Linked DNA regions of Oryzias latipes. The protein of the gene in region 6 binds, or shares a complex with, the protein of the main gene of each other region. Links are inferred from orthologs where the notes say so. Each region holds a gene or a part of one and is shown on either strand. Other genes may lie near its edges. The genes, in order: polr3c, polr3k, crcp, polr3f, polr3g, polr3e and polr3d.

Region 1 (4,184 bases), on a different chromosome or scaffold from region 6:
GACAGCTAGTTAATAATAAATAATAATAATAAATAATTAATAATGAAATAAATGTAAAAAGCTGTAGTATTTAAAGCACAGAGAACAATCCAAGAAAAAAGAGGAATTATTAGGAGTACTTCCAAAAACTATCACTTTATTTCATTTAAAATTTGAATTTTCTTTGATTTTAAGGTCAATACTTCAAAGTCAGATAGTCTTATCAAACAACCAAATGCTTATGCTAAATTCCTTCAGCCATACAAAGAGGGTTTTCAAATACTATTCATTTTTACTTTTAACCATCAAATAATTATACACTGAGGAAATGTATTTGGGTTTTTTTTTCTAGGCAATTATTTTTCAAAACCTGTTTTTCTTTTAATGAATAAAAAAAATGGTTAGTTTGAAATGTTTTGTGGAATTCCCACCTGATCTAGTTTGTTGGCGACAGCACTGATGATAGTCTGATCCCGGAAATGCTGGTGGAACCGTTCAAAGTTCACCTGCCAGTAAATCCCCTCATCCCCATGAGTCTGAGCACCAAAGATCCAAGTTATGAGAAGACAAACAGAAGTCACAACCATAGAAGTCTTAGCATATGCAGTGAACATCTTGCTTTAACAAACGTCTCTCTGACCTCTGGGTCCATTTTCGCTTTTTTCGCATTTCTTTGGTCCTCTCCTTCCTCGCTGGCGAGCGAGCGTTTGCTCCGGCCTATGAGTGTCACTTGAGGAACCCTGTAGCAGTCGGGGAAGCTTTCCGGTGTGGGTGCAGTGCTGCTGGCAGGAGCTGCAGAAGTCGAATTGGCAGTCTGACTGCTCCCTGTCGTTCCTGCTCCTGCTGCTGGGGGACAGCGCTGGAGAAAATGAGTCTCTACCAGTTTGGAAAAGGTGGCGGACACTTCACCATAATCCATGCTCGACCCCTCTGTATCAACAAAACATCAAAGGAAGTATTCATTAGAAAATGAATCTACTGATCGCGATATTTTAGGCCTCAATCCAAAGCTTAACTGAAAAAAAAACCTTCAGAAAACAGATCATCTCTTTTATGGACAGTCTTTTGTTTGATTCTGATGCTCACCGTCCATACTCTGAGTTAGACGGTCTGCGACTGTCTTAACTGTGTTGCTCATCGTCATGTGGCCCCTCTGCAGCAGCTCCTCTATGATAAGCTCACCGGTGTCGCCGTACAGCGTTTTGGCTGTGTATATGTAACGTGGGTAGCGCAGAATTCTCAGTACCCGATCGCAGTGGGCTTTGTATTCCGTCGGGCTCCCCGGTCCTTTTCGACCTTGAATAAACGAACAGGCTCCATGTTGCACAAGAACGCACAGAGACTTCTTTACCTTGATGAAAGAAGAAGAAGTCCTGTTAAAGTACATGAACATTACCAGACATCACTGTATTGTATTGACAAAAAACTGATAAGCAATCAGTTTCAGGTAAAACTGTTTTCAAATATGAATATATATTACCTGAATAATTACATTATAATTTTGTTTCTCTTATTGTTCAAATATCTTTAAAGAACTAACTTTTGCCATATTGCAAGGGACATAGTAATATATGTGACCGTTTGCTTTGAATAATAATTCAAATAATGAATAATTTTGATTATTTTTCAAAGAACATCTGACTACAGCGAATGCAATCTCAGTCTTGCGTTGACCTACCAGATCCACTGACAAGCCAGTTTCATGAACAATGGCTCTTAAATTTTGCGTTCCACTTTTGAGCAGATTTCTTCCCACTTTCTCCACCACTTCTCCAAAGTGCTCCTGCAGCAGAAGACCACACAGACGGACCTCCTGGGCTGTCATCTGCACAAACACACCAACAGTTCAATGAAAACCACTAAGTTAATAATAAGAACTAATGCATGTGCTTTTAGTAGGCTGTAAAGATGAATCGATTCATCCATCTGAGGCAAGATGTTAATCGAATCAAACTATACCAATATGAATTAATTTTAAAAGGAAATAAATCAATTATTATCAATATTGGAAAATACCATTTGGATTAAGGCACAGTAGGCTTTTTTTCTAACTATAACGTTAAAACAGACAACACATCGAATGGCAGCAAAATGTAGGTAAAACTGTCCATTCATTCTTTTTTACTTGTTTGTTTGTAAACATGTTTAATTTACACTTAATTATGTTGCAAAAAAATACAGGGAATGTGGAAAACTTCCCCTGCACTGTTCAGAATCCAGGTATTTATTTTCTGAGTCCCACTGGTTGAATTCTTGGCTAAAGATGTTCTGGATCGATTTTAGATCAGTGAATCGGATCGGATTTGATCGTTCAACATGAACCAATATAAACAATAAATCAATTTTATTTTAGTTCAGTTTAGTTTTTCAATAAACAGCACTTTTTTTAGTTATGTTATCTCTATACATCTAGTTTACGAACTACAAACAACAATAATAGTATTTTACTTTGTTAAAACAGGCACCACTTATTCCAACAGGTAAAATCTAAAAATAAAAAGTTAGATCGGTCATTAAGTAGTTTCCCTTATAGCATACAGTGCATGTAAACTATCTCTTCTAATTTGAAAAGTCAACAGTTGTTCAAGTTCTTTCCCCCTTGGGCTTTTGGATAGTAAAATTACAATTGCATGCTGGGAATTTACTAAATTATCTCTGAATATTTGATGGTATAAGCCTGGCATTTTTTTTTTTTCACAAACCTTTTTCGATTTCAGATCTCGCAATGAAAGCAGACTCCGTGCAGATAGTTTAGCGCATGAGGCTAGTCGATGACAACAAACAGACACTTCCGCTCCCGGTTTTTTGCTTGCTGTGATTCGACAACAGTGCCGCAGTGCATGCCGGGCTGGGGGCGGACAGCTCCCTTCAGCTAGTGGAGGACCGACGTCAGTGTTTGTGCTGCTCCGGGAAGATGGCGGAGGCTGCGGCTGTTCCCTCGCATCGGTTTTTCTGTCACTGTTGTAAGGGAGAAGTAAATCCCAAACTCCCGGTAAGTCGCGTTATTTTTGGTTATTCGCTCATTTTATGTTGAGTGTTATGCGCGGCTGACAAGTCTGCCTTCCGGCAGGTAGCTGTTTGTTTCGGCTACTTCTTGCTACAGCTAAGCCCATAGGCTATTAGCATATAGCAGTGTTTGTTGTTGTTAAGTCAGTAAAGAAACTCCGGTTAGTCGTTTTAGGGGAAACTAAGCTACTCTTAAAACTAACGATAGTAGGTCTTGTTATTCGTGCCTGTTTTAAAATACTTACGCTAATCTCTGTGCTTCAAGGTAGAAGTTGTGTGCTTGGTGGTAAATGATAGATGCATGTTTTTGAACAAAACAGCCCGAATTAATCTGAGAGTTTATTTATTCATAAACTGTCACTCAGATTTTCCTTTTCAGTATATATACACATTTAGTTTTTGTTTCTGTTAACAGCAGTGGCAGTATAAGCAGGGGAAGTTTTCTGTAGATGTCATACGTTGTGGTTTACTTTCAGTTTTAGTGTTAAAGTCAAACGTAACAATGTCGGCAGAAGAGGCGTTTAAATGGCCTACTATTACTATTTTACAAATATTCTTTAAAAGGCCATTTATTTAAAAGGACATTCCTACGTTTTTACAAAAACATTTAACTAACTGTAAGTGTTTGTTTTTTTATTTGTAGTTTTTTTTCTCTTGTTGACTCCGTTTTGTGTTTTTGAAACAAATGTTCCTTGGTAAATAAATAAAAATTGACACACATTTTTCAATCATTGAAATATAAGTTATTTTGTTGATGATAATGATTATAGTATTTCATTTTGGACAAGAAAAAATTTGGACAGGTTAAAATAAATACCAGAAATATCTGAATTTCTAACATGAATGTGTTCTCTTACATGTTTTATAAATTTAGCTTATAACTGGCTGATGTATTGAGTAAATGAATTTTGTTATATAACCCGAATTTTAGGAAACACTGCTTTATGTTGTGTCTAGATTTTGACTGAAAGTTTAAATTAAAAAGTGCAACCTGTTAGCTTCTTAGAAGCAATCTGTTAGACTGATACAGAGATGGAGGGTTCTGTGATTTACTGTGCCATAAAGTAAAAATAAACATCCAAACGTCTATTTGTTTAATCGACCAGTAAACTGGAAACAGAGCTGTGACTATTGCCTCCCCATTATTTTTAAATTTCAGATAATTGGTCACTAATTCTGGATTTACTCACTTGTCTCTT
Region 2 (3,163 bases), on a different chromosome or scaffold from region 6:
ATCATTGCATTGATCACCTAATCTTGACATTTGTCATCTATGACATAAATAAATGCATGTTAGATGAAGCGATAGCCTTGACTGAGCAGTCTTTTCAGATTAAGCTAAAAAAATATCAAAAATACAGTTTTTATTGGATAAACCACTAACAGTGTAAAAGCACTGTTCCGTCACAGCATGTCCGATTTCATTTTTCACCAACGCTTTGGAGGTGCAGAATTTGTCTGCATGAGCTACACATCCAAATAAGTGATTCTCTTTGGCTGGCTCCTAGATTTGTATTTTTTTTTCTCTTCCTTACCTTAAGGATGATTGAGTTGCTCTAGAAATTGCATTTTGAGCTCAAGGATTGCATAGAAAATAAACGTGTGGGAACCAGTGGTATGCATTGCTCTCAATGTCTGCAACAAGATACAAACATCTAAGACAATTGAATTGACTGATGTACACAGGTATTATTTTATCAATAAAAGCTCTGAAATAAAGAATTTGTCCGTTGATTGATTCTGAAAAGCAAATTTTATTTATAAATAATAATGGGTCCAAAACATTCTTTACATGTGCTTTGATTGCCATTTAAACTAGAAATAATGAGTGAATGAAATAAAATGCTCAATCTCTCCATCTGTTTCCACACTGAGCATTACAGCATTTGTAGAAAGTCGTCATTGGTTCATCGGCTGATCTGGTCTGGATCTGCATGAAGTAGGCTCGAGGATGCTCGCATTTGGGACACGTTTCTGTGAAAAAACACAAGCAAACATGCATATATGTACACACATGTTCAGAATTTTAGTTAGTTCTCGGATTGAACTTCTTTCTGTGGCCCACATTCAGGTTGGTACTCGCCATAGCATCACACAGCAACACTGCCTCTAGCAAAAAGTAGTCCATTTAAGTGTACTACAAGTATACTTAGAGTGAGGCAGTGTACTTGAAGTTCAGTCTATATATAGTAAACATAAAATGTCACAATTTAGTCAGAATAAGTGTTAAGTTAATGTACTCCCTACACGTTACATGGTCAGCAGTATATGTGCAATACTTGCATCCAAGTACACTTAATAAAATAAACTTCAAGTGTACTTGCAGCTAAGGGTGACTATTAACACCCTTTAAACACGCAAATGGACTGTTTCAAATAAACTTTAATTTATTCCTATGGAGAACATATTTGTCTTAGTAGTCAAATTAGTTTTTCTTGGCCTTTGTTTTATATTATTCTCTAGTCTATCCATGTTTTTTTTTAATTCTTGGTAACAAACTTGTTTGTTACCTGCAGTAGAATCCACGTTCTCCCACGCTGCAGCTCCACCCAGCACATCATCCACCTCTTTCAGCTTGGGATATTTTCGGTAGTTTACCTACAAATATTGAAAAGTTTGAGATTAAAAACCACCCTAAGAAATGTCGTGTTTGTTTCTCGAGTCAGAGTCAGACAGTGATAAAAGGAGCGTACCTTTCTCGTGACGTTGTGCACATAGGGACAAGTGTTACAAGCGAATCTCAAGCATTTCTGTCCTTCTTCTACGATTAAAACGTTTCCACAAGTAGGACAAAAAAGAAGCATATTACCAGATTATTTAAAGAAAAACTATCTCGGGAAAGATAGTAGCGACTACGAAATTCATTAGCAAGGAGAAGCAAAGCGGAAGCAGTTGCTCCGGTTTTACAGCTCGGTAGGAAACAAAAAAAAAAAAAACGTTTGTTAAAAATGAAATTGTTATTGTTAAAGAATGTATATAAATGTATAAATATATGTATAACATTATAAATAATATAATTATTTTAAAACCCCACCATCCGCCGCATGAAAAAAAGTTCTTACTTTTGATAAGCGGAACTATTTATCATGTTTTGATGATACCACCGGTATAAGGTCTGCGACACACAGCATTAAAATTCACACCAGTCTTGGGATACATTTTTGTAAACAGTATCCTATTATTATTATTTTAAGAATCTTTTGTACTTAATTGAACGCGTCAAAAAAGAGAAAGCGGTTTCATTTTTACTGAATGTATTTATTTTTAACCAATAATAGATGATGGAGCAGGAAACCGACGAAGGAGAGAATCGTTTGCAGGACAGTCACAGTCACAGTGAGGTGAAAGAGGAGAAGCTGGCTGATGAGACAGCTCCAGATGCCGAGGAGGAAGATGAGGAGTCTCTTCCACATTCAGAGATCCTTGATATCTTCGAAGAGGGACTTGCTCGACTTGTGCAGGACCCTTTACTGTGTGATCTGCCGATCCAGGTCATAGAAAAACACCACACTCCGCACACCAGGCAGATGTTTAAAGAAAATTTTCATAAATTGTAAATTTAACACTAAAGTTGAAACGCGTCCTTCTTCCGGTTTGTCTGACGGCATATTTGCATAGCAGAAAATAGCTGCATATATATTCTTGAAAAGCCAAATCGAATCCAATTTCAAAACAATCTTATAGCTCTAATTTATGTTTTCTCTCCTTTTTCTTCTTGAAACTGTTTATACGATTTAAGAATTATATACGAATAGCAATGAAATAAATGTTCTAATCTAGAATTAAGTACCAAACATGCATAATAAAAATAACAAAAACACAGGTTATAATCCATAACATTAGTATTGTCAGTATTGCTCTTGTAACATTGGACTATTATACAATAATCACATTTGTTTTTTTTTAATCTCATTTATTATTAAGCCCAGAAAGAAATCTGTTATTTACAACTGGTTTATCTTTCGTATTTGCAAATTTGTCTTTGAGAAAACATGAAATGTCTGCAGTTATAAAGGATTAACCAAGTCCATTTGACTGATTTTTTTTTTTTTTACCCTCTACTGTGTTAGAAGGATGAGAATCCACAATCTGCAATATTTTTGTGTTCAGGTGACTTTGGAAGAAGTAAACTCCCAGATTGCATTGGAGTATGGGCAAGCAATGACTGTGAAGGTTGTTAAGGCAGATGGGGAAATCATGCGTAAGTTCCAAAGTCTCCCAGCTGATTTGTATAATTAGTATGTGTCTATATTGTGTTTGTATGACTATGTCTGTGTTCACTGCCTGACTCATCAGACCTCATAACCTTCTTCTATCGCTCTGGAGTCCAATCTAAATGTTCCCTGACAAACGTTTTTTTTCTGGTTGGCCTTAATGGTCAGTGGGTTTTTTTTTAA
Region 3 (4,193 bases), on a different chromosome or scaffold from region 6:
AGATAGCACAAGGGTTAAAAGCATCTCAAAAGTGAGAAGGGCGACATCTGCAGGCTGAGTTTTAGAACTGCATGTTAGTGGATGCTAATGGAAATGGCCTCATTTGTGTTCACTGCAACAACTGCTTTATAGCTGCTTTGTATTGAAAAAAATATTTTTATTTTAAAAGGATACAGATTGCAGAGAGACAAATGGTAAACAGGGAGTGCAGTTCTTTAAGAGGCTCCATATAGTTTTGGAAATTCACTTTTTAAAATGTACTCTAAGAGATAATCTGCTCTAGAATAACTGATTTAGGACAATATATAATTGCTGTTGCATTATGAAACCAGATTATTTCTTAATAGAGGGAGCCTTCTACACTTGGCTTTAGGTGAGTAATTATTGGTTGCTAAAAAAGATTTTTTCGGGACACACCACACCCCAGTGAAGCAGCATCAGAAGTCTGCACTCCACATCCTGGTGTTACTCAGTTTGCTAAAAGAACGGCTGGATTTCTCTACTTGATTTTTAGTCAAATAGTGCAATGTACCCATTTTAAGGATTAAATATTTCTAAACCCATCACAGCCATAACCTCAACGCTTAGCTAAAGCAATAATAAGGCTTTGCTTAAACGGGTCATGAGGGTCTTTTTGGTTTGCTGTATAAGGTATTGTTAACATTGTCTTGTAATAGCTGCTTCAATAGATTATTAATGCGTTACAGGAATGGGCTCAAGCCTGGATTTACTGTGAATTGCCCATTCAAACTAACCCTGCAGACAGGAATAGCATGAAAAAACCAGAGTGGTAGAACCTGTAGGGCAATCTACATGTAACAAATGAAGTTGCTGATGGATGCATGTGAAAAAGTGCATGTTTTGGGTTAGATTTGAGCCTTTTTGGGTTGAGTTAACAAAAATACAAATATGAGAAAGATCTCATTTGTTATACAGAGCTACCATAGGAATACATGAGTAAATTATTTAGGAAAAAAAGATAAAACATTTAGAAAGACATGAAAAATACTTACAAGCTGAATTTCCACTGCACTCTGAGGCCGTTGGTTTAACAGCTGCAGTTTTTCTGCCCTTAAAGAGAGAAAGATGGCAAAATTTTAACTTTGAGACATTTTTATCCCCAAACTATACATCATTTATTAAGCGGAAATTACAATTGAAGCCCCAGAGGGGTGAAAAATATTATCTTTTAGATACTGACTTGGTCAGCTTCTGAGGCATCATGGTGGTGAGGAACTCTCTGACAATTTCAGGACTCTGTCTGCTGCATGGCGTCTTTGACAAATACTTTAGAGTCTGAAAGCAAATGCAGGTGAGAACATGGACTGGATTTGACAACTAAAGCTCAGACAGTATGAATAGTACCCACTTCATACATGATGGTGTTGAGGTCCTGTTGCCCGAGGCTATGTTTGCTTTTTCCAGCATCTTTCCTCTGTTCTTTCAGGTCGGTGAGAAGTTTGAATACCTGAGACGAAGACATTATTTAGCTTTTCTGAATAATTAATTTCATTACCAGGCAGGAAAATCAACAAAAACCCTTAATAGACAGTCTTATAGTCTCACCTCATAGTTACTGAGCATGGCCGCGTTTGCATTTTTTCTGTGTAAAAAAACCCAAATAACAATTGTTAAACATTAAATTATGAGATAATTAAAATATCTGTTACCAAAACAAGCTTTATAAGATTGGAATATTTCCCATGTAGTTTATATATTTAGTAAACATTTTTCTTCTGTGATTTGATCTTCACATCCTTGTGTTACTAAAAGAACGGCTGGATTTCTCTACTTGATTTTTATTTATATAACGAAATTTTCTTAATCGGAACCTCAGATCTTCTCTTTAATGAACAGCAATAATTTTTTTTTGTGTTTTCCCTTTTTAAAAACTAGAAACCCATCAATTAGATTATTTTAAAGCCGTTGAAACTTACTGAAATAGATATTAGCAAATGTTTTTGTTTTTCAAGTTTGAAGAAGAAAAGAAATACAATTAAAAAAAGCAAACTTTTGATAAATATAAATAAATCTAATGAAAAACAAGACAGAATACTGTTTAAATTCAAACCTGTTTCCCATATTTCTTTGCTTCAATGTTATTTAGAAAAATTAAGTTTGTGATTTCAGGCAAATATGAATTAGATCAGAGCTCAAGTGACAAGTTGACAAATGTTGTGGAGTGCGGCTGAGTTGGCTTATATTAGATGACAAAATGTTTTTTAGCTGCTTCATCATGTCATAACTAATTCATTTATTATTGAAGAGCCAACGCAGAATGTGTTTGTAAATGGAATGTTTCATGATTTGAAACAAATATTTGATAACACAAACTCAAACTAATCCGACCCGTGCTTTTTGTTTCTCCCATCTTCTGAAATTTACGTTTATAAACGATTTCGCGACCTTTTGTCCCGTCTCTAACTTCGTCCCCAAACATAATACAATTTAAAACATTTGTAGACTGCAAACTCTTCAAAATGGATCAAAGTCTCCCGGACTCAATATGTTTTAATTCAGTTGTTTTGTGTGTCGATCATCATCTCTCCATTTTTTGGCCGACAGCATCATCCCAACGGAACAAGCAAAACATCACATAATAAACCCGAAACTGAAACACGCACGAAACTACCATCGATCACAATTAAAATTGTACATGTAAATATACATAAAAGACTTATTAGCCGTTGTTTTGTTCTTAAAAAAAAAATCTTACACTTCCATGTCGACTCTTAGGTTCCGTTACAATAAAGGGGTTCGTGTAGAAAATAGGGGAGTATATTGGTTCCGCCTAGCAAAAAACGCATTTTTACATAGAACGTGGGATCAGAGAAAACAGAATAAATATTTAAAAAAGTGAAACACTGCCGAGATGTTTGAAAATGAAAAACAATGTAAGAGTATCTCAAAAAGTGTAAATTCGAAAGCCCCTTCACCAAACAGTTCAATGAAATTAACAAGGACTTCCAGAGCCTCATGCAGCAGCATCAGGGAGAAGGTGAAGTACACCCTGAACACATCGAGGGTTATTTTAAACATATTAAACATTTAACATTTACTGTTAGGGTAAGGGAACAAAAAAGGAATACACTAGAAGTCACTTTTATCAGATTTTAATACAGTTTCATTAGTCATGATTTGAAGCACACAGTATTGAACACTTTTTGCTTTTTAAAAACAAAAACAGAAAAAGTACAATGAATTTTATGCTACTGCACTGAGTAATGAGTAATCTATATTTGAAAAAACAAATAAATCCCAAAACATAATAAAACAACCAAAAAAAGGAAACCTTTTGTTGGCATTTCTTTTCAAGAACTTGATACAGGAATGAGTCAAGACTGAAATGTAAGAATTGGACATCCATACAAGTAAAATATACAAGAGTGAACAGATTTTTTCCAGCATTATTTTTTCTCTGAACTGGAGAGTGATGGTTAAAAATGTTTCTGGGACAGAAAAATCACATAATTATATTAAACAGGTGCATGTGAATTGCTTGGAGCAACAATAAAGTAAACAATAAGTGCAGAAATTAAAGCTTTAACTTTTATTAAAGCTGAGTTTAAAGCTTTCGTTTAATTTTTGCTTTTCACTGCTGGAATTTCTTTGTTTTACTGCAGTCAAGCCCAGGATAACTATAAAATGAGATGATGAGACCTAAACAACCTCCATTGGGACAGGTTCCTCAGTTTGGCAGAAAAACTCAAGGAATGTTTGTACAACTTTGTCATCCACACAGCTCCTTGCAGCTTCTTTGAACCGTTGGTTATTTCTGCTCTCAACTATTTTTTTGACACCGTCTTTGACGGCGGTGCCTCGAGTGTAGCTGCAATCAAGATATTCTCTCAAAACGTCAAACTTTTTTCCCTCCACCATTTGGATAATAAAATCTTCCAAAATGAAATGCAGAGGTTGGGCATATTCAACAACAGCCCGTCTTTCCATCCCTTCTTTGTCGTAGGTGAATCCTCCTGAATGCATTGCAACCACATTGCAGTGGTTGTCAAAAACAGGAGAGCCAGAGGAGCCTTCGAAAAAACTAGATTCGTATTTCAAAAGTTTATCAGCAAAGAAATACTTGGTTATCAGGGGAACCCTATCAACAACCTGGCTGTGTGGAACAATCAAACAGGGGTCGATCTTTTTCACACCTCCCTGAGGATGCCCGATAATGCTGATTCCACCACCAT
Region 4 (4,223 bases), on a different chromosome or scaffold from region 6:
TTTATCCAGCATAGGAAAGCAATAAACCCGAACAATTTCAACTTCATCTGGAAAAACAAAATTAATTCCATAAAAAAAGAACAATAATTCAGGATTACAGTGAAGGTGGACTTAAAGCCTCAGACTTTGAAAGTTTGGATGGTATGATTCAAATAAATTGGCTTAAGTCTTTTCTGCAAAATGGGAGAAATATTTGGTTTCATATTCCCTCAAACATCTTTTCTCATCTAGGGGGTATTGAGTTGCTTCTAAAATGTGATTTTGATTACAGAAAACTTCCTATTAAACTTTCTACTCATCATCAGCAGCTGTTACTGTATGGAAACTCCTCTACAAACATAACTGTAGTTCACACAATACTCCATATGGAACTGTTGGGATATTTTATGTAGGAACAAATCAATATTTTACAAACATTGGATTGATGACAGTATTTGGTCATTAATACATATTATGAATGACAATGGAAACATTATCTCATTTGAAACTTTTTCCAGTAAATTTAAATTAAATGATAGAAAATAATATAATAATGTGATCAAAGCCTCAGACTTTGGTCCAAATGTCCTCCAGTCTGGTTCATGATGATCAAGTTCAGCTTCCCTCTCTGTTGTTTGATGGTCGACCGGTTAATTCAAAACTTCCAAACTCATTTATACGATCTTTATTTGTTAGAGCCGTCCTGTTTCCAACATTAGACATAAATCATTCTATGTCACAGCTTTACACAAGAGAGGAAATAAGCAAGTTGAGGTCTCAGTTCATTAAATATCCAATTTTCCCAAAATACAAAGAAATCCATTTTAAAATAATGAATGCAGTCTATCCATGCAAAGAACTGTTACACATACGTTTAGGTTTTCCAGAGAATAACTGTTCTTTTTGTGATATAAATATTGAAACACTTGATCATTTGTTTTTTGAATGTATGTATGTTTACAGTTTTTGGGAGGATTTCTTTTTTTGGTGCTCTTCAAAGTTTCCCTTTCCTATTTCTATTCACTTACAAAAGCACATTATATTATTTGGAGTAGTTTCTGGTGATAATCTATTTGATTTGACATTCAATACCTTATTAATATCTGGGAAATTTTTCATTCACAAGTGCAGATTTGTAAAAACGAAACCATTATTTAATACATTTCTTAAAGAAATCAGTTTATATTTTAAATCTCTGACATTGATGAAAAACAAAAATGCAATAAAACTGTGTGTTTTCATTGAAGATCACATGCTGTATGACAATCCCTAGTGTTGTAAACTATAATTCTATATATTTTGTTTTATTTATTTACTTATTTTCTTTTTCTCTCTTTTTTGTATGTTGTTATTATGTGTATGTTTAAAGTTCAAATAAACAAAATTAAAAAAAAACAAAAAAAAACGTGAACGGACATCACGTGCTCTGATGACGTCACACAGGACCGAGCCTCTCCCGCCGCTGGGGGGCGGTAACGCTCCGGTCTCCGTGGTTCCCCCAGAAGAAGAAGCGGCGTCACCGGCAGCAGCGGACCGGGGAGATGGCGGAGGTTCGGGTAAAGAAAGAGACGAACCTGGCGGAACCTGCAGAGGTGGAGACCAGGTTCGGACCTCACGATTCTGCCGCGTGCCGGTCCATGACCGAAGCGCGTGCATTTCATCTACGAGCAGCTCCTTGGCTTGTTTCATGCGCGCGTGTCTTAAGTTCAGAAACGGTTCTGGTTCCGGAGGCTACTCTAAACCGAACCTCAGCAGGCTTCTAAGACCGAAACCACTTTGTCTGGTTCCAGAGGTTCGAATCGGGAGACCGACTCAGCTCACGCTCAGGTGGTTTTAGAACCGAGTCCAGTTCTGAAGGTTTTAGATCTGAGTAAACCTCCGAAGACTTCAGAACCGAGTGCAGGTCTGAAGACATTAGACTCGAGTCACTCGGGTCTAATGTCTTCATAACTGGACTCGGACTCGAGTCCCGTGAGTTCAGGTCTAAAGACTAAAGGAACCGAGTCCATCCAGGTCTGAAGACTTCAGAACTGAGTCCCGGTATGAAGGTTTTAGATCCGAGTCCAGGTCTGAAGACTTTAGAACCGAGTTCAGTTCTGCAGACTTTAGAACCGAGTCCCGGTATGAAGGTTTTAGATCCGAGTCCTGGTTTGAAGGTCCAGGTCCGAGGACTATCGCTGCAGCTGTTGGATGTTCTGGATGTTGTTCAGAGAACACGCGGATGGGTCAGACGGATTCTAGAGTTCAGGCGGTCTTTGGACCATTTCTGAAGATCCAACGTGACGTTCTGAACGGACCAGAAACACTAGAACCTCCGTCTTGGAGAGGTCCATCTGAAGATGTTCCTTTTTGTTCCAACTGGAGATGAGACCCAAGCTGACACAGGGTTTATTATGGGATGTCTGATCTTTGGAGCGACTGGACCTTGTGGTTCTGATCCAGGAACTTCAGCTCTGAACGCCTGTGTGTCTCCAGGATCAGAGAGCTGTGTCAGCAGTTCCCTCAGGGAATCACAGACCAGGTGATCCAGAACGACATGCCTCACCTGGAGCCGCAGCAGAGGGCCCTGGCCATCAACAAGCTGCTGTCCCTGGTTAGTCCGGTTCTGAACAACCCAATCCATTCTTCAGCGCAGAGGGGTTCTAACGTAACCTGGTGTTTGTTCCAGGGCCAGCTGGACTTGCTCAGGAACAGTTCTGGTCTTCTGTACAGATTAAAAGATTCTCAGACAGCCAGGTGAGCAGCGTTCCATCTGCAGGTTCTGGTTCTGTCCACCGTGAACCCCAATCCTCTGTTTCAGTAAGATGAAGGGCTCGGACAACCAGGAGAAGCTGGTTTACCAGATCATCGAGGATGCCGGAAACAAAGGTGAGCTCTGTCTGCCTCCTTCCAGAAGGTACCGCGGGTCAGAACCTCCCAGATGTTCTGTTCGCAGGAATCTGGAGCAGAGACATCCGCTTCAAGAGCAACCTCCCTCTGACCGAGATCAACAAGATCCTGAAGAACCTGGAGAGCAAGAAGCTCATCAAAGCCGTCAAATCTGTGGCCGTGAGTTCAGAACCGAGCCGGTCCAGACGTGCTTGTGGCCGCCGGCAGTCCTGAACTCTGCTCGTCTGCCACGCAGGCGTCCAAGAAGAAGGTCTACATGCTGTACAACGTGCAGCCGGACCGCTCCGTCACCGGAGGGGCCTGGTACAGCGACCAGGACTTTGAGTCCGAGTTCGTGGAGGTTCTGAACCAGCAGTGCTTCAAGTTCCTGCAGAGCAAGGTATGGAGAACCCAAATGTACGGAACACCAAACCAATGGGTCACAAAGGTCAGAGGTCAGCTGTAGAGCTACGTTTACACCGGGAAACGCGTTCAAGGGACCGCTTTGAGTCCAAAGTCTACGGGAACGCGTCTACGCTTCCGCCTCCAAACTCTACAAAAAGCGCCGCCATTGAACGTGAAACCAGTTGAACTTTGACCAATCAGGGACTCTGAGTTGGTTGCGACGTATGATGGCGTCAAAGCAGAAGTACCAACGACTGAAACTTGATCAGAAAGGACAAAGTAATAACTGCGGTTTGTGTCGACGCCAAGTCTATGATGGATCAGAATCGAGCTGTGAACAAAAGACTCACCAGATTTGGACGTTTCCCACCGAGTCGTCCAACCGCAGGAGACGGCGCCGGGTAGCCACAGTCCAGAATGAACGCCGTAGGCGAGCAAAGGTTCTGTGGTCTTCAACGCGCATCACGTGTGTGAACGTAGCACCAGGCTGAGGGGCCCACCCCTCACCCCCACTCACCCCTGTGTGCAGGCGGAGGCGGCGCGGGGCGGCCAGCAGAGCCCCATGGTTCAGAGGAACAGCTCCTTCGCCACGTCTCACGAAGTCTGGAAGTACATCAGCGAGTTGGGCATCAGCAAGGTGGCCCCGCCGTGACCTCACAGCCCCTCCCAACAGCTGCAGCTGTTCTCACAGGTGTCCCGTGTGCAGGTGGACCTGTCCATGGACGACATCGAGACCATCCTGAACACGCTGATCTACGACGGGAAGGTGGAGATGACCGTGATCGCCGCCAAGGAGGGGACGGTGGGCAGCGTGGACGGACAGATGAAGCTGTACCGCGGCGTGAACGCCGTGCTGCCGCCGGCGGGCCTGGTGAAGACGCCCTGCGGCCTGTGCCCGGTAAGCCGCGCTCCGACGCCCCCTGCTGCCGCTCCGGCTGCGGCACTCACCCCCCCCCCCCCCCCAATCTCTC
Region 5 (4,291 bases), on a different chromosome or scaffold from region 6:
ACAGACATTTCATATGCAACTGTCAAAGCCATGCAAAATGGGCTTCAGTAGGTTGCTTCCCCATCCATGTTATCGTCACTTTCAGCAGCAAAATCTTCACCGTTGTCAAAATAGCTTTCAATGTAGTCATTTTCCTGAGGAGCAACAAGCAGATAAAACATTAGTTGCATCAAATAAGACCAATGCAGATTTTCCACTATTCCTGGGACCAAACCTCTTCTATGTCTTCTTCGAGTTCTTCCTCTTCGATTTCTTCATCGTCCTCTGCTTTCTTCTCAGTTTCCTCATCTGACTTCTCAGGATTTTCATCTTTCTTGGCCAATTCCTGAGCAGATTTTTTGGGGTGGGATTCAAACTAAATGGTAGGCTTTCTTCCCATTTAAAAAAAAGTCTACATTTTCACAGCAGTTCTCTTTGTTCTGCTTGGCAGTATGGTTTGGGCCAATGTGTTTAAAGCCGATCAGTTAAGGAAGAAATGTTCAAGTCTGAACAGTTTCCTTTTTAAATAGATTTAAGCCCATCAGACACTAAAGATGGGTCTGTCAAGATCATTCAAGAGTCAAACTGTTTTTAAACTTGATGTAATTTGATCAGTTTCAGAAAGGGACATGCGATTTTTACTTTTTTTACCAATTCAAAATCAGAAGCACCAGTACAATAAGCGTTTTTCAGTCTAATGTTGGTATTAAAAAAACAGGTAAAATTGTGCCTTATATTTTACACAGATGTAGACTTCTGCAAAATCTTGCTAAAACTTCGTACAACCATAATCTTTTTTCACATGGCTTTAAACTATTCTGTCCTTATGGCAGTTTCCAAACTAGATTTTTTTATTTTAAAGGCATGTGCCTACTAACTTCAGCACCGAATGACAGCGCCTAAAGACATCCTTGTACAAAGTTCAATTAAGAAAAAAAAACATTTAAATAGTCTAAAAAAGCTAAAGAAGGAAGATAGGCTTACATCCAGTTTACTGAGCACATTGGCTTTATCTTCCTTCAACTTCTTCACAGTTTTAGTCTTGGTGCCTGAAGCAAAAAACACTTTTTAAATAAATAAAAAACACGCATTCAACATTTCCTGCATGCAATGTGACTTTAATTTACCTTTCTTAATTCTACGTTTTTTACTTTGGGGCATCAGTTCTTTGGGAAAAAGGTTCCAGTCTGAAATGTGTGACACGATGTTTGCATTACTTTACATGACACCTTTTGAAAAAAAAATTTCCATCTAAAGCAATTACCTGGAGTCCATTCCTCACTGTTAATCTGGGCTTGTTTCAAGTATCTTTCAGTGTATTTCTCCACCTCTGTTTCATGTAAACAGAACAACAGAGTACATTTGAAAAAAGTATCAGATCAGTGAGAATTTTTTTACTAAACATAAAAGATAAAAAACAAATGAAAGTTAATCTCTGGAATCAATTCATTGCTACAGCAAAAATAAATTTATTGTTTAGACATTTATGCATTGTACCAAATTATTTGTTCATAAATGAATCTTAAAAAGTATTTTCTAATGATCAAAAGTCTGGAACCTGGATTAGAAATTGTCTTTTTTTTAACAGGTGACTTAAATTAAATGTACTCCTTTAAGTTTTTTCTTGGGTTTATGTCATAGACCAAAGAAAATTAAAGATGTTTAAAATATCTGTAATGATGGACCCCTAAAAAAACAACAACAATTGAAAACTTCATAATGAGGCATAAGCAGTAACTATAGAATCTCATTTCTCTTATGTATAACACTCATAAAATGTCTGATTTCCCAAAAGCAGCAGTTATCTCCACTTCCAGCAGCCCAGAATTATCTTGACGTAGAAATCTCTCATATGTCAGCACTCTCCCCCCTACCCGTTTTGCTGGAGCAAGCTTTAATGTTGTGTGGTAGCCTCTGCATTGCTCCTCTTAATTCCTGTTTTAACGCCAGCATGTAGTCTTCCTCTTCACCTCCTTTGAGTGGAACCGGTTTAAATTCAGTAGTCTAAATAAGGGCAAATGATGCAAGATATTTATTACAGTGACACGTTTCTTGTTTATCTGAAAATTGGTGTAATCCAAGCAGGCAGTCATTCTCAGAAAGTGTCCATAAACCAAGTGTTTGACACAAAATAGATTACATCATAGTTTGCTTTCTGAGCACATTTTACAAAGTACTGAGACTACACAGGGAGAGTACACTAAAAGCCCTACGTTGATGACACATGCCAATTTATTTTACTTAAATAAAACTTGAATTTTTGCTAATTAAACCTTCCATCTTTCCGTGTTTGTGTGGCATTTACTTACTGGAAACAGTGGACTGGGCCCCACCCTGGCTTCTGGCATGTTGCCTCTGCCAATGCCCAGAGCATCAATGTTGAAGGTAAACGCAGCCACCCCGCGGCCTTTGCCTGCCATGGCTGCGCCCCTGACCACGACCTGCAACACACGGTTCATCCTCAGGCAAGCACCGTCATTGACAAGCACGTGCTTGCCGGTATTGCACCATTGAGTCCGCTATGAGAAATGACAATTTTTCCCTGATATATATTTTTTCATAAATACTTACAGGAGGCCTGCTGGTAAAACTCTCCTTTTATGGAGACGTGAGATAAAAAAATAAAGTTTTATAACTATAAATGACACGTGTTTCCCAATGAAATCTTATTGAATTTGATTTATTTGTTAAAGCTAAACGGTCCGAGTTTGTGGCTTAGCGGTTTAGCTTACATTTAGGCGAAAAAGATAAGTAAATAAACCTATCGCTTCTTTCTATGGTTTTTTTGTGGAACCGGCTGGGAAACGCATGTGTAACCAATAGACTAGTCAGCGTGAGCAGATGCTTTCCCCTCTCCGCCCCTGCTTACGTCCCAATAGGGCGTTTCTTATTTTCGTCCAATCGCTGCCGCGTTCACATCTACCGTCATTTCTCACTTCGACCAATGGGCTGGCTGCTTTCAAACAAGGGTGTGTGCGGCCACCATCATTACAGCTTCAATGAAACCACACTGCTCCTAGCTACGAGGCTACTAACACTGTTGTGCTAATTCAGCCGACGGCGCGTCTCCCTTCCGAAGCTTACCTCGACATTTGCATGTCCTGGGATGTCTGCAGCCGACTGGTACGCCCACAAGTCGCTCGGAGACGGACTATTCTGGATCCAGGAGCGGTTTTATCAATCGGACAACCGGGCCAACATCTGGTTGCTCCGCGGTTCGCATCAGGACGTGGTGATAGACACCGGCCTGGGGCTGAGGAGCTTACCTGACTACATCGACTCCAAGGGGCTGCTGGGAAAAGACCCGCAGAGGAAGAACCCGCTGCTGGCCATCGCCACTCACGCCCACTTCGACCACTCGGGGGGTCTGCATCAGTTCCAACAGGTGGGCGTCCACAGCGCAGAGGTCGATGCGCTGGCCAACGGAGACAACTTCGAGACGGTCACCTGGTTGAGCGACAGGGAGATAGCCGAGCGCCCCAGTCCAGGGTGGAGAGCAAGGAACTACAAAGTCAAGGCTGTTCAGCCCACGCACATACTGCAAGAGGGTAGGCAGGGCATCTGTCAGCACACATGTGGTGCTTGGTGCTAGTGGGGGCTAAATCTGGGGTCAAACCTACAACTTAAAAACTTCATTCAGTGTATTAGAGTTTCAAAATCCTTCTCATTCTCAAACCAAATTTCTGCAAAACGAAATTAACAGATGGCCCAGTGACAAGCCAGACACAAGAAACCAGACTTTCAAATATTTGCACATGGGTGAGGTTGGGATACTGTGTGGTCCTCACCATTGTCTTGGCTCTCTTCCTGCAAAGCTGATCTATTTTTAAGTCACCATGCTGATGACTTTGGCAGATTCTGTTACTTTCAGGAATGAGTGTGTAGGTTTTTCTCACACACACAGCAAAGCACTGGGATATTTATCACCCACCATCCTGTCTGTGAATAAGTATATTCTGGACATAAGCATTTTCTAAACCAGGGCTCCTCATTCCTGGTACTCGAGATTTATCGCCCTGCCTGTTTTCCATCTCTCCCTGCACTGCTTGCTGCTGACTACCTGGAGCAGGTGTGTTCATTCAATCAGAATGTGGAGACATCTGATTGAGCTAATCATCCGCTAGCAGGACTTGGAGATCTGGAAAACCGTCAGGGTGGTAGATCTCGAGGATCAGGAATGAACAGCCCTGTCTAACCCTTGTGCTATCCTATGGGGTCAAGATGGCCATTGACGTGTTCTCCCTACCGTGGATAAAGATGGAGAGGATTTCATGTAATCCATGGAAACCAGTGAAGATCACAAATCATTAAA
Region 6 (4,296 bases):
AGCTTCTGTGAAAAGTAAAAAACAATTTCACATTTTGAGAAAACGCAAGTTTTTCTTTGAATCCGTTGTGCAATCCTAGGCACTTTAACATTGGGCGTTGGGTCATCTAGACCCCACAAGATTCTTCAATGATTTGTGATCTTCACTGGTGTCCATGGATTACATGAAATCCTCTTCACCTTTATCCACCTTTGTCATGGTAGGGAGAACACGTCAATGGTCATCTTGACCCCATAGGATAGCACAAGGGGTATTTGTGCTTTTTCAAGTCAAAAAATTAATATACCGGTAATTCATATTTATTACAAAAATAACAAAGTAATGAATGCAAAGCAAATATCAAATTTTCCTAAAGACTTTGTGGCTCCTACTACTCCAACACATAAAAGGTCAAATGGCTTTTTAAGTGTTGATGGTTGCAGACCTCTGCTTTAAACCAACAACATGGCTGCTCTCTCACCATCTTCTACACCTTTCCTTTCATTCTTGCTAACATTTTTCTTTTGTCTCACATCATACCTAAACCTTCCTCCACCCATTACAACCTGTCTGCATATGCCTCTACAACCAATCTGTTGTTCTAGACTGGAAATCCTCCCCATCTTCTGCAGCGGACCTTCAGTCCTCTCCTTTCCACGTCAAACCCCCACCTCTCTAGTTGTTCTTCCACTTCCTTTCTGCTTTCAATGCATGTCATTTGCAGACATCATGGTCCACAGAGATTTCTGTCTAACTTCATCTGTCAGTCTGTTCATCACCACACAAACAAGGAAGACCATCTCACCACTGCCTCACACCTCTCATACATGTCCAATTTCCATTGGCACCCTGTGGATGACTGTACCATTGGTGGTTGTTGTTACACCTTTGCCACGATTAGTATAAAATTTATTGTTGTAGTTTGCACGACTGTATTGACTTTGGTTTTACTGGGTGCCCTTCATGACACAACCCTTTGTATTTACAAACCATCTCACAATTCCCTGTTTAAAATTGAACCGTGTGTTTCACCATTGAACTGAACAAAATCGTGGAGAAAGTGAATTGTTGCATCTCGACTGGATACCACTAGGGTGACGTTGAGTGACAATGAGTTGTTTTAAATTTAACACAACTGATTGACACTCAATTGTGTTAAATGTAGGAAGTATTTATTGATTCTTTATTCTTTAAGTAAATTATACCAGTCTTAGTGTAACCCAGGTATAAAAGGTTTCTCTTCATTGGTACTTACCTATTTCCAAATAAAAAAAAAACTTTTCCGAATGTCTCGGTTCTTGTTGTTTCGTGATACACAATTCATATATACATATACGGCACGTATATATATATGTCCCATGTCCTTTAGCCGGACATGGGACAGGTAATGCGTCGTGCAGCCTTGTGGTTGCATTTATAATTGAACATGAATAGGCAGCGTTCAGCTGCCTATGGACTATGATGACACATTTTCCTTCGCAATGCATCACGGTAGCGTGGCCGAGCGGTCTAAGGCGCTGGATTAAGGCTCCAGTCTCTTCGGGGGCGTGGGTTCGAATCCCACCGCTGCCAAGAATTCTTTTTGGTACGTCGTTGTTTTTCCTCAACGCTTGATCTAACAGTTAAAGAAAACACATGCAGAACGAATTAGTGAATAAAAGGTAAGTTAAAGTAAATAGGTTATAAAGACACGTGACAGTGCTCAGTTCCGCAGTTTGGTCCGAATAGCATTATTTGCACGAGCACGTCCAACTCCCCACGTGTCTGTTGAAACAGCGTCAACATCATGGTACCTCAAGCCCGGTAGTTTGCTTCAAGTCTAGTAGTTCACTCATGGACTGTTCTTGAACGTGTTATATATTTAAACTGCAGGGGGTGAGCAGGTGAGGCCTCACGCTGTTTCTATGGGGATGCCACATGTCCAAAGTGCTAAATCTGATGTTTTGTCTTGTTTATCATAAATCTCTGATGTGTGTGTTAGCACGCTAAGCTACATTACTCTGGTTAGCTTAGCTACAGCCTACCTTCAGTTTTGGAATTTTCAGAAAACTCCACAGTTAAAAGTGTCGTTCGTCTCTGTCTACTTAAGCGCGTATTTGTAAAGAAATGTTATTTTGAGTGTCTCTGTTGTGGGGGCCTGTGGCTAGTAATTTAAAGAGCTGATGCTTGCTAGGCTAATGAAGCTAACGAAGCAAGAACTATCTGACTTTTCTGAACTGTGGGCCTGCAGAAAATTGTGTAACCAACATAAATCACAGATTGACAAGGATGCTGGACGTCGTTTGTATTTAGGGAAGTGAAAAACTTCAATTTTTTGGATGGTTGCGTACTATTACATCAGTTTCGCCGTGATGGGTCCGTGAAAGCATCATCTGACATGCTGCATCATCACAGATTAGTTTAGATCGCATATAGATACAGAAATGTAACTTGTTATACGTTTAACTACCAATGAAACACTTTTTTTTTTTTTTACAAATATAATGTACATCTGGATTACTAGGACTTCTGTTAAACCTTTCTGTTCTTTTGGATTACCTGCTGTAGCATATTAAAAGCAGTGTTAATCAATGACGGATTCTTGCTTTGCATTTATTTTGTCCAGGTTGAAGTCCTCTGATATATCACTGCTGCTCCCCTGATCCTATAGATATGGCCAGTGGAGATGAAGATGATCCAATTATAGAGGAGGTATGTTTACGTCTGGAATTTAAATAAAGTTTCAATCCTCTTCTGATCACTGCTATGCAGCAACTTTGAGCCATGAGAAATATGTATTTGAATGAATGAATTAAACTTTATTGATCTCAAAAATAAGGAAATGACCATGTTTATGGGTAAATGTAGTTCCCATTAAACTAGCATGTATTAGTGTTTGTTTTAAGCTAATTTGAAGACGTTTTTCTGTGGTCTGCGGTCGATTGAAAAACAATCCAACATGCTGTTGTCTAACAATTCATCTGTGTTTACACTGTGACCTTCTCTAAAGAGAATGGAAACTACTGACAGCCTCTGAAATCGGTCACATATTTACATTAAACAACATTAACAGTATTAGGCAAGTGGTTTGGTTTTTCCAAACGCATTTTAATTAGAGTGGTTAATTTTCACATACATGTCCTCCATCATCATAAAAAAAAAAAACAATTTTCATCAGAGTGTGGGTCATCAGTTTCTTTGGGAAACCCCCCCAAAAAAGAAGAGCCTCTGAGTTTTGCAGCATTTTTCCTATAACCTGATCTGCAGGATTGCATATTGAGCCATATGTACAAAAAGGAGTGCCGCTGCTTTGGGGTTTTCAACTGGAAATGTCTCCTTCAGTTTACACTTGGTGTGGGAGTTTTAGTGTGTAGATTAGCAGGTGGTTTGTACAAAATGCCCAAGGAAGCCTTTTGTGCCATTGTTTAAGAGAAGTTGTTGTGTTTAAGAGGCAGATGTATTCATAGGCAGAAAAACCTTTTTGGTATTGTTTATTAATATGTTTTCAAAAAAACTATTTTTTAATTGACTTTTTGTGTACTTATGTTTCATGCACTTTAGGAAGCAACGTTATGTATGTAAAGTGCTAAACAAATAATGTTTAGTTTAACAATTTTCTTATTTATTATGTTTTAAGACATTTTATTTAGATAACTACATGAATAGAAATGCAGTTAAGACTCATATAATATTACGTTGAAAACCTTGAAGCTCAGAGTCATTTGTGCAGAGTGGAAAAGTCTGATTTTCATTTGTGTGTTTCTGTAGATTGACGTGTACCTCGCCAAAAGCCTCGCAGATAAGCTCTATCTTTTCCAGGTAAGCATTTCCTTCATTATTGTGCCTGTTTTTATATTCTGCTTAAAACCTTTTACTTTCCTCATGGTCAATGCTTTTTATTTTTATTTTTTTATTTATTTTTTTTACTGTTAAATGGAAGTCAGTTGAATGTGTTAGTCACATAAATATACACATAAAAAGGAAAAATTGAATTCAAAATTATTATTCTTTTTCTGTTTTGAGAGCCACAAACATAATGAATAAGCATTTTTTCTGCCCTTTCAGATGTTTTGTTGAAAATGTGTAACTTGCACCAAACCCATTTCAATTATCTTGATTTTAATGAAATGTTTCTGTTAAAATTTGTTCTTCAAAATGTTCCTTTTTTAGTCATTTATTCCTTAAGCTTTTAATTATTTATCTTTAATAACAGATTAATAAAATAGTATTTTTTCTAAACTTTGATAGTTGAAAAAAAGCTCTCCTCTGGCTTGTTGTGTTGACTCATCGTTTAATCTTTCGTTTTTTGTGCAGTATCCTGTCCGGCCGGCTATTATG
Region 7 (4,263 bases), on a different chromosome or scaffold from region 6:
AAATGGCAGTTCAGCTGCAGCAGCAAACTGCATATGCTAGTCCTGCTGGCCCCCCACCTCTCCTTTTCATCATCATCTCGGCCGGCCCCTGCTCAAAGATAGAATGGGACTGGATGATCTCTTGGCGACCTCGGCCCCTGCCTCTGTCTCTCGGCCCTCGACCACGTTCTCCACCTCTCCGATCTCTCCTTTGATCAGTCTCAACTTTGGCTCTGTTGCAACCAAAAATTTTTTTTTTAAAACAGTTAAAGCTTCAGTTTACACGAATTTTATTTGTTCTTCACTGCATTTTTCAATCCTAGAAATAAAATCAACTTACTCCTCTTTAACCTTTCGGCCAATGATGTTGGGTGTGAAGGTTTTCTATAAAATTAAAAAAAAGATAAATGAGTAATAAGAAAAGCTGTTTATTTTTGAAATCTAGAAAAAAAAAATCATGATTGCAAGTAGGGCAAAAGAAGCTACAGAAGGGTTTCTTAATATATCTGGTGTGATTAACTCATCTAACACAATTCCTAACCCAAAGATTAAATGGCGAGTGAGGTATGATGCTAACCTTCTTCACTCCTCCCAGGGTGAGGTCCCTTGACCGCATGGAAGGGAGGCGTCCAGGAGAGAGTCCAGCTGGTGGTCGACGCCCCATCTGGAGTCCTACATTGCTGCTGCTGGCGCCTGCAGGAGTGGGAACGCGTTGACTGCTGGACTCCCCGGAGTCCGCCATCCTGAACTTTAAAGGGATGTCAAACTCCCAACCTGGTGGCCAACAATAATACTCATCATCATCTCTCTCAGACAATGGTGATGTTTAAAAGGAAAATACACAAATATTACATAAAAATTGTTTTCAAATGTCTTTATGAGGAGGTTGCACACATTTTACTGCCAGGTGAAACACTACTCTGGATTCTGTTGGCGTGTGCCTTTAAAACAGTTACGTAATGTCCAGGGTGTGTGGCATCTTTCCAAATACAACTCTTTCCCAATCAGTCTGGTAGTGCACTTCCTATCCCCCTCCCCTCTGTTCTTACTACTTCCTGCACGGTCTTCCTGTCCTCTGTTGTGCCTTCAGACAGCGCGGCACTAGAACTGAACCCTCATTGTTGGCCTTATAAAACCTGACCAGCAGTTCCTGAAAGAAGAGGGCCTGCCTCAACTTCCTGAGAAAGTACTGTGTTCTGACCAGGTGATCTCAGCTGTGACGTTTATTTATGGCCCCTCATCCTCGTGTGTCGCCAATCATTGGATTTCAAAGTAAAGCTACAGGCTAGAAGTTCTTTTGTTTTGTTTTTTTGGCCCCTATGCCAAAATTTAAAAGAACCAGCTGTTATCTCGCAAAATAAGATCAACGCACTTGTTTTTGTAATACATCTTTGCAAGAAAATTAGCAATGCTCAACAGCACGTGACACTAAAATTAGCAAAAAGATAAAGAAAAGATTTTTAGTGTCTTATCATCGCTACAAAAGGGGATTTGCGTGTCCCTCCCTTCATGTCCACAAATTCTGTCACTTGAACTGCAGCAATATTTAAACTTAATTTCATCTTCAAAAAATACAAAAGCTCAAAAAACAATTGAAATTTGTAAATTTTTTGGACTACTGATATAAGTTTACTCTCGTATTTTCTCTTTTTATTATTATTTTTTTTTAACTTTATTTTATTTTTTTCTTTGTTTAGTTTTATTTTATTTATTTATTTTTATTTGTTATTGCCTTTTGTGATTGCTTCTAATAATTAAAATTTTCTTAATGTTGTAACACGTTTATTCTACTGTACATTATATGTGCATAATTGTTGCATTCTCTTGTTCTGTATGTTGCAATTGTCCAATTAAAAAAAAGAATTCTGTTATTTCCCTAAACAAACACATTGAGCATGCGCGTCTTACAGGGTATGTTTGATTTGTTGTGCGGGGACGCTCAATTCCTTCACAGTCAAGAGGGCATGTTTCTGTGCCAGCTGGAGGTTGGTTAGTTTGTAACAAGACCAGAAAATCGATCAATGATTTCTGCTGTTTTTCTGAACACTATTGTGATTATGGTCACATGTCTTTTCTAAATTAATTGTTTTTCCACACATTGCAATGGAATGATGCTTTGACATTTCTTTGCTAACATCACCATCACGTCGTTTTTACGCTATAGTTAAAAAACCAAGCATGTATCTGAATGGTACTTTCCAAGATCGATTATCAATTTAATATAATTTTGAAAGGATTTTATAATGGTACAGTTCGATTTGAATCCATTATCAACTTGTTTCAGCCACAAAATCTGTTTTGATGTGTCACTTTATTAATTAATCATTAGACCCCATACCTAAAATTAATGTTATTGAGGTTTACATTAATGTAATTTGTAATAATACCGGGATAAACAAAAATATACTTTCAGTCCGTTCTGTAACCTTTTTCTTTTTATCTTTTTTACTCTGTTGTGGTTCTGAACGTAAGCAATTCAAGACATTAATTAGGAATGATTTCTTAAACTTTCGAGTCTAAGCATTGAGAATAAATTGTGTTTACAATGATATTTGTCAGTGATTTAAATACACAACCAGTATTTACATACGATGAATGAAGAAAAATGTTACAGAAACACGTGGCTAGTAAGATAGATCACAAACAACGCGAAAGCTGTCCAGAGGAAGTCTTAACATATTGCAGTTCTCCAAAAACTTACACGACACGTCCTCGGTGGTCCTTATTCGGAGTTTTCCCCCCTAAAACCTGCCAGATATCAGAAACAAAATCCTGTTGCCTCGTCCACCGCTGCATTCACTAGCGGCGCCATGACACTTCCGCTTTGGCTTCAACTTGCTCTCGAGGATCAAACATGCGCAGAAAAACGCGCATGCTTAGAAACATTATTTTGTTTTATTTTTATGTTTTATTTCAGAATCCACAGTCCAAAAAAATTCACTGTCATAAAAAAGATAAGATTAGATAAACGATTATACTAGTCTTTCCAAATGTTTCCTAAAACAGCTAAATGAAAATTATATTTTGAGTTCTGACATATCGTGCATTAGTTTTCCTGCAAGTTTTGTCAGATTCATAAAAATCTTTTGCATGGATTAATGTTATTGAATGTTTTGAAATAAATGTCTCAGATGTGAAGAACCAAAAGATATGGCATATTTCGAGATTGGAAATTTTTTTTTTCTAAAGATGTTATTTTCCTCTGACATGCTAAGGGAACTGATTATATTACTACTACTACTAACAATAATAATAATAATAATAATAATAATAATAATAATAATAATAATAATAATAATAATAATAATAATAATAATAATAATAATAAATATTTCATTTGTTTGGGCACTTGTTTCCTTGGTTATTTTCTGTCTTACAGCAAAATAGTCTTATGCAACATTCACGCTTTTATATTTCTCGCCTTTCAGCATATTCCTTCTGGGGTCTCGACAGCGAATCAGCTTTCCCTGATTCTCACAGGTAGCTTTGCAGAGATTTTTGCGCCAGATGATCTTCCTGACACAACCCTGTATTTTATCCTAGCTGGGGACCGGCACAGGGGAACCTAGACTTGGGCCCCCTTGTGGCTGCATAGTTACGCAGTACAACAAAGGGTCTTGCCTAAGGGCCCACACTGCATCAAGTTCATTGTGGCCCCTGGGAAGCGGATCCTGGTTTCCCATGATCCAGTCCTACACAGAGCCAACTGAACTATCCATTTGCTACCTTATGCAAACAACTGCATGCAGTTAAATAAAACAGTAAGATTAAATATTTCCATGCAGTTAAACAGATTAAATCTAATATAAACTCTAAATGGAAACTCACATCTTTACATTTTTAAGGAATTAAAATAGAGTTTGTGATATAAGTAATGAATGTTCCTACTGTGTGATATAGTAATAATACAAATAATCTGTTAAAGGAAACATCCAATAGGCCTTCAGAGTGCAAAGAAAATATTTGTTTTTAATATGTGAAAAATATAAATAGATGCAGTTAAATAAATCAATTTGATCAAACAGGGAAAGTTTAGGTTACCTTTTTATGAGCTGCATGTCATTAGAGTATGGTTTAGTGTGAGAAAATATTAAAGGGGAATTCAAGATATAGAGTTTAGATGATGTTTGAAACTCCAAGTTTAATGACGATTTTTTTTCTTTTAAGAATAACTTGGCAAGAAAAATGTATGTTTTTTTATGTTCTATATACACAAAATGAAAAATTTGCCAAGCAGAAGGAGTCAATGTATCCTTTTCAATGGGTCTCTTCAAAGACAAAAGT

Evidence for each region.
Region 1: polr3e (region 6) and polr3c share a complex: the UniProt entries of both Homo sapiens proteins name them as parts of the RNA polymerase III complex. The link is inferred for Oryzias latipes from reciprocal best matches to the Homo sapiens genes POLR3E and POLR3C.
Region 2: polr3e (region 6) and polr3k share a complex: the UniProt entries of both Homo sapiens proteins name them as parts of the RNA polymerase III complex. The link is inferred for Oryzias latipes from reciprocal best matches to the Homo sapiens genes POLR3E and POLR3K.
Region 3: polr3e (region 6) and crcp share a complex: the UniProt entries of both Homo sapiens proteins name them as parts of the RNA polymerase III complex. The link is inferred for Oryzias latipes from reciprocal best matches to the Homo sapiens genes POLR3E and CRCP.
Region 4: polr3e (region 6) and polr3f share a complex: the UniProt entries of both Homo sapiens proteins name them as parts of the RNA polymerase III complex. The link is inferred for Oryzias latipes from reciprocal best matches to the Homo sapiens genes POLR3E and POLR3F.
Region 5: polr3e (region 6) and polr3g share a complex: the UniProt entries of both Homo sapiens proteins name them as parts of the RNA polymerase III complex. The link is inferred for Oryzias latipes from reciprocal best matches to the Homo sapiens genes POLR3E and POLR3G.
Region 7: polr3e (region 6) and polr3d share a complex: the UniProt entries of both Homo sapiens proteins name them as parts of the RNA polymerase III complex. The link is inferred for Oryzias latipes from reciprocal best matches to the Homo sapiens genes POLR3E and POLR3D.

Annotation. Positions count from the first base shown.
Region 1 is NC_019874.2:18,840,176-18,844,359, reverse strand, and holds the start of polr3c (DNA-directed RNA polymerase III subunit RPC3), read right to left. Parts: upstream 2,801-4,184; 5' UTR 2,682-2,800; intron 1,805-2,681; coding exon 1,658-1,804; intron 1,331-1,657; coding exon 1,066-1,330; intron 910-1,065; coding exon 620-909; intron 516-619; coding exon 411-515; intron 1-410. Other genes in the region: E3 ubiquitin-protein ligase RNF115, read left to right, coding at 2,894-2,971. UniProt on the Homo sapiens protein: DNA-dependent RNA polymerase catalyzes the transcription of DNA into RNA using the four ribonucleoside triphosphates as substrates.
Region 2 is NC_019866.2:8,138,547-8,141,709, reverse strand, and holds polr3k (DNA-directed RNA polymerase III subunit RPC10), read right to left. Parts: upstream 1,677-3,163; 5' UTR 1,571-1,676; coding exon 1,460-1,570; intron 1,365-1,459; coding exon 1,277-1,364; intron 741-1,276; coding exon 613-740; 3' UTR 501-612; downstream 1-500. Other genes in the region: snrnp25 (U11/U12 small nuclear ribonucleoprotein 25 kDa protein), read left to right, coding at 2,045-2,257, 2,877-2,967. UniProt on the Homo sapiens protein: Core component of RNA polymerase III (Pol III) which synthesizes small non-coding RNAs using the four ribonucleoside triphosphates as substrates. Can mediate Pol I proofreading of the nascent RNA transcript.
Region 3 is NC_019872.2:8,449,030-8,453,222, forward strand, and holds the start of crcp (DNA-directed RNA polymerase III subunit RPC9), read right to left. Parts: upstream 2,801-4,193; 5' UTR 2,725-2,800; coding exon 2,717-2,724; intron 1,604-2,716; coding exon 1,567-1,603; intron 1,469-1,566; coding exon 1,370-1,468; intron 1,297-1,369; coding exon 1,202-1,296; intron 1,072-1,201; coding exon 1,014-1,071; intron 1-1,013. Other genes in the region: protein FAM111A, read right to left, coding at 3,661-4,193. UniProt on the Homo sapiens protein: DNA-dependent RNA polymerase catalyzes the transcription of DNA into RNA using the four ribonucleoside triphosphates as substrates.
Region 4 is NC_019859.2:414,638-418,860, reverse strand, and holds the start of polr3f (DNA-directed RNA polymerase III subunit RPC6), read left to right. Parts: upstream 1-1,423; 5' UTR 1,424-1,520; coding exon 1,521-1,582; intron 1,583-2,454; coding exon 2,455-2,572; intron 2,573-2,647; coding exon 2,648-2,715; intron 2,716-2,779; coding exon 2,780-2,847; intron 2,848-2,914; coding exon 2,915-3,027; intron 3,028-3,103; coding exon 3,104-3,247; intron 3,248-3,781; coding exon 3,782-3,889; intron 3,890-3,958; coding exon 3,959-4,150; intron 4,151-4,223. UniProt on the Homo sapiens protein: DNA-dependent RNA polymerase catalyzes the transcription of DNA into RNA using the four ribonucleoside triphosphates as substrates.
Region 5 is NC_019867.2:16,255,786-16,260,076, forward strand, and holds the start of polr3g (DNA-directed RNA polymerase III subunit RPC7), read right to left. Parts: upstream 2,801-4,291; 5' UTR 2,551-2,800; intron 2,421-2,550; 5' UTR 2,400-2,420; coding exon 2,289-2,399; intron 1,984-2,288; coding exon 1,854-1,983; intron 1,310-1,853; coding exon 1,244-1,309; intron 1,167-1,243; coding exon 1,107-1,166; intron 1,029-1,106; coding exon 964-1,028; intron 326-963; coding exon 215-325; intron 135-214; coding exon 45-134; 3' UTR 1-44. Other genes in the region: mblac2 (metallo-beta-lactamase domain-containing protein 2), read left to right, coding at 3,086-3,527. UniProt on the Homo sapiens protein: DNA-dependent RNA polymerase catalyzes the transcription of DNA into RNA using the four ribonucleoside triphosphates as substrates.
Region 6 is NC_019877.2:13,142,977-13,147,272, reverse strand, and holds the start of polr3e (DNA-directed RNA polymerase III subunit RPC5), read left to right. Parts: upstream 1-1,496; 5' UTR 1,497-1,564; exon of another isoform or gene 1,565-1,640; intron 1,641-1,696; exon of another isoform or gene 1,697-1,862; intron 1,863-2,584; 5' UTR 2,585-2,631; coding exon 2,632-2,670; intron 2,671-3,726; coding exon 3,727-3,777; intron 3,778-4,272; coding exon 4,273-4,296. UniProt on the Homo sapiens protein: DNA-dependent RNA polymerase catalyzes the transcription of DNA into RNA using the four ribonucleoside triphosphates as substrates.
Region 7 is NC_019867.2:17,411,597-17,415,859, forward strand, and holds the start of polr3d (DNA-directed RNA polymerase III subunit RPC4), read right to left. Parts: upstream 2,801-4,263; 5' UTR 2,681-2,800; intron 754-2,680; 5' UTR 722-753; coding exon 557-721; intron 364-556; coding exon 320-363; intron 213-319; coding exon 58-212; intron 1-57. UniProt on the Homo sapiens protein: DNA-dependent RNA polymerase catalyzes the transcription of DNA into RNA using the four ribonucleoside triphosphates as substrates.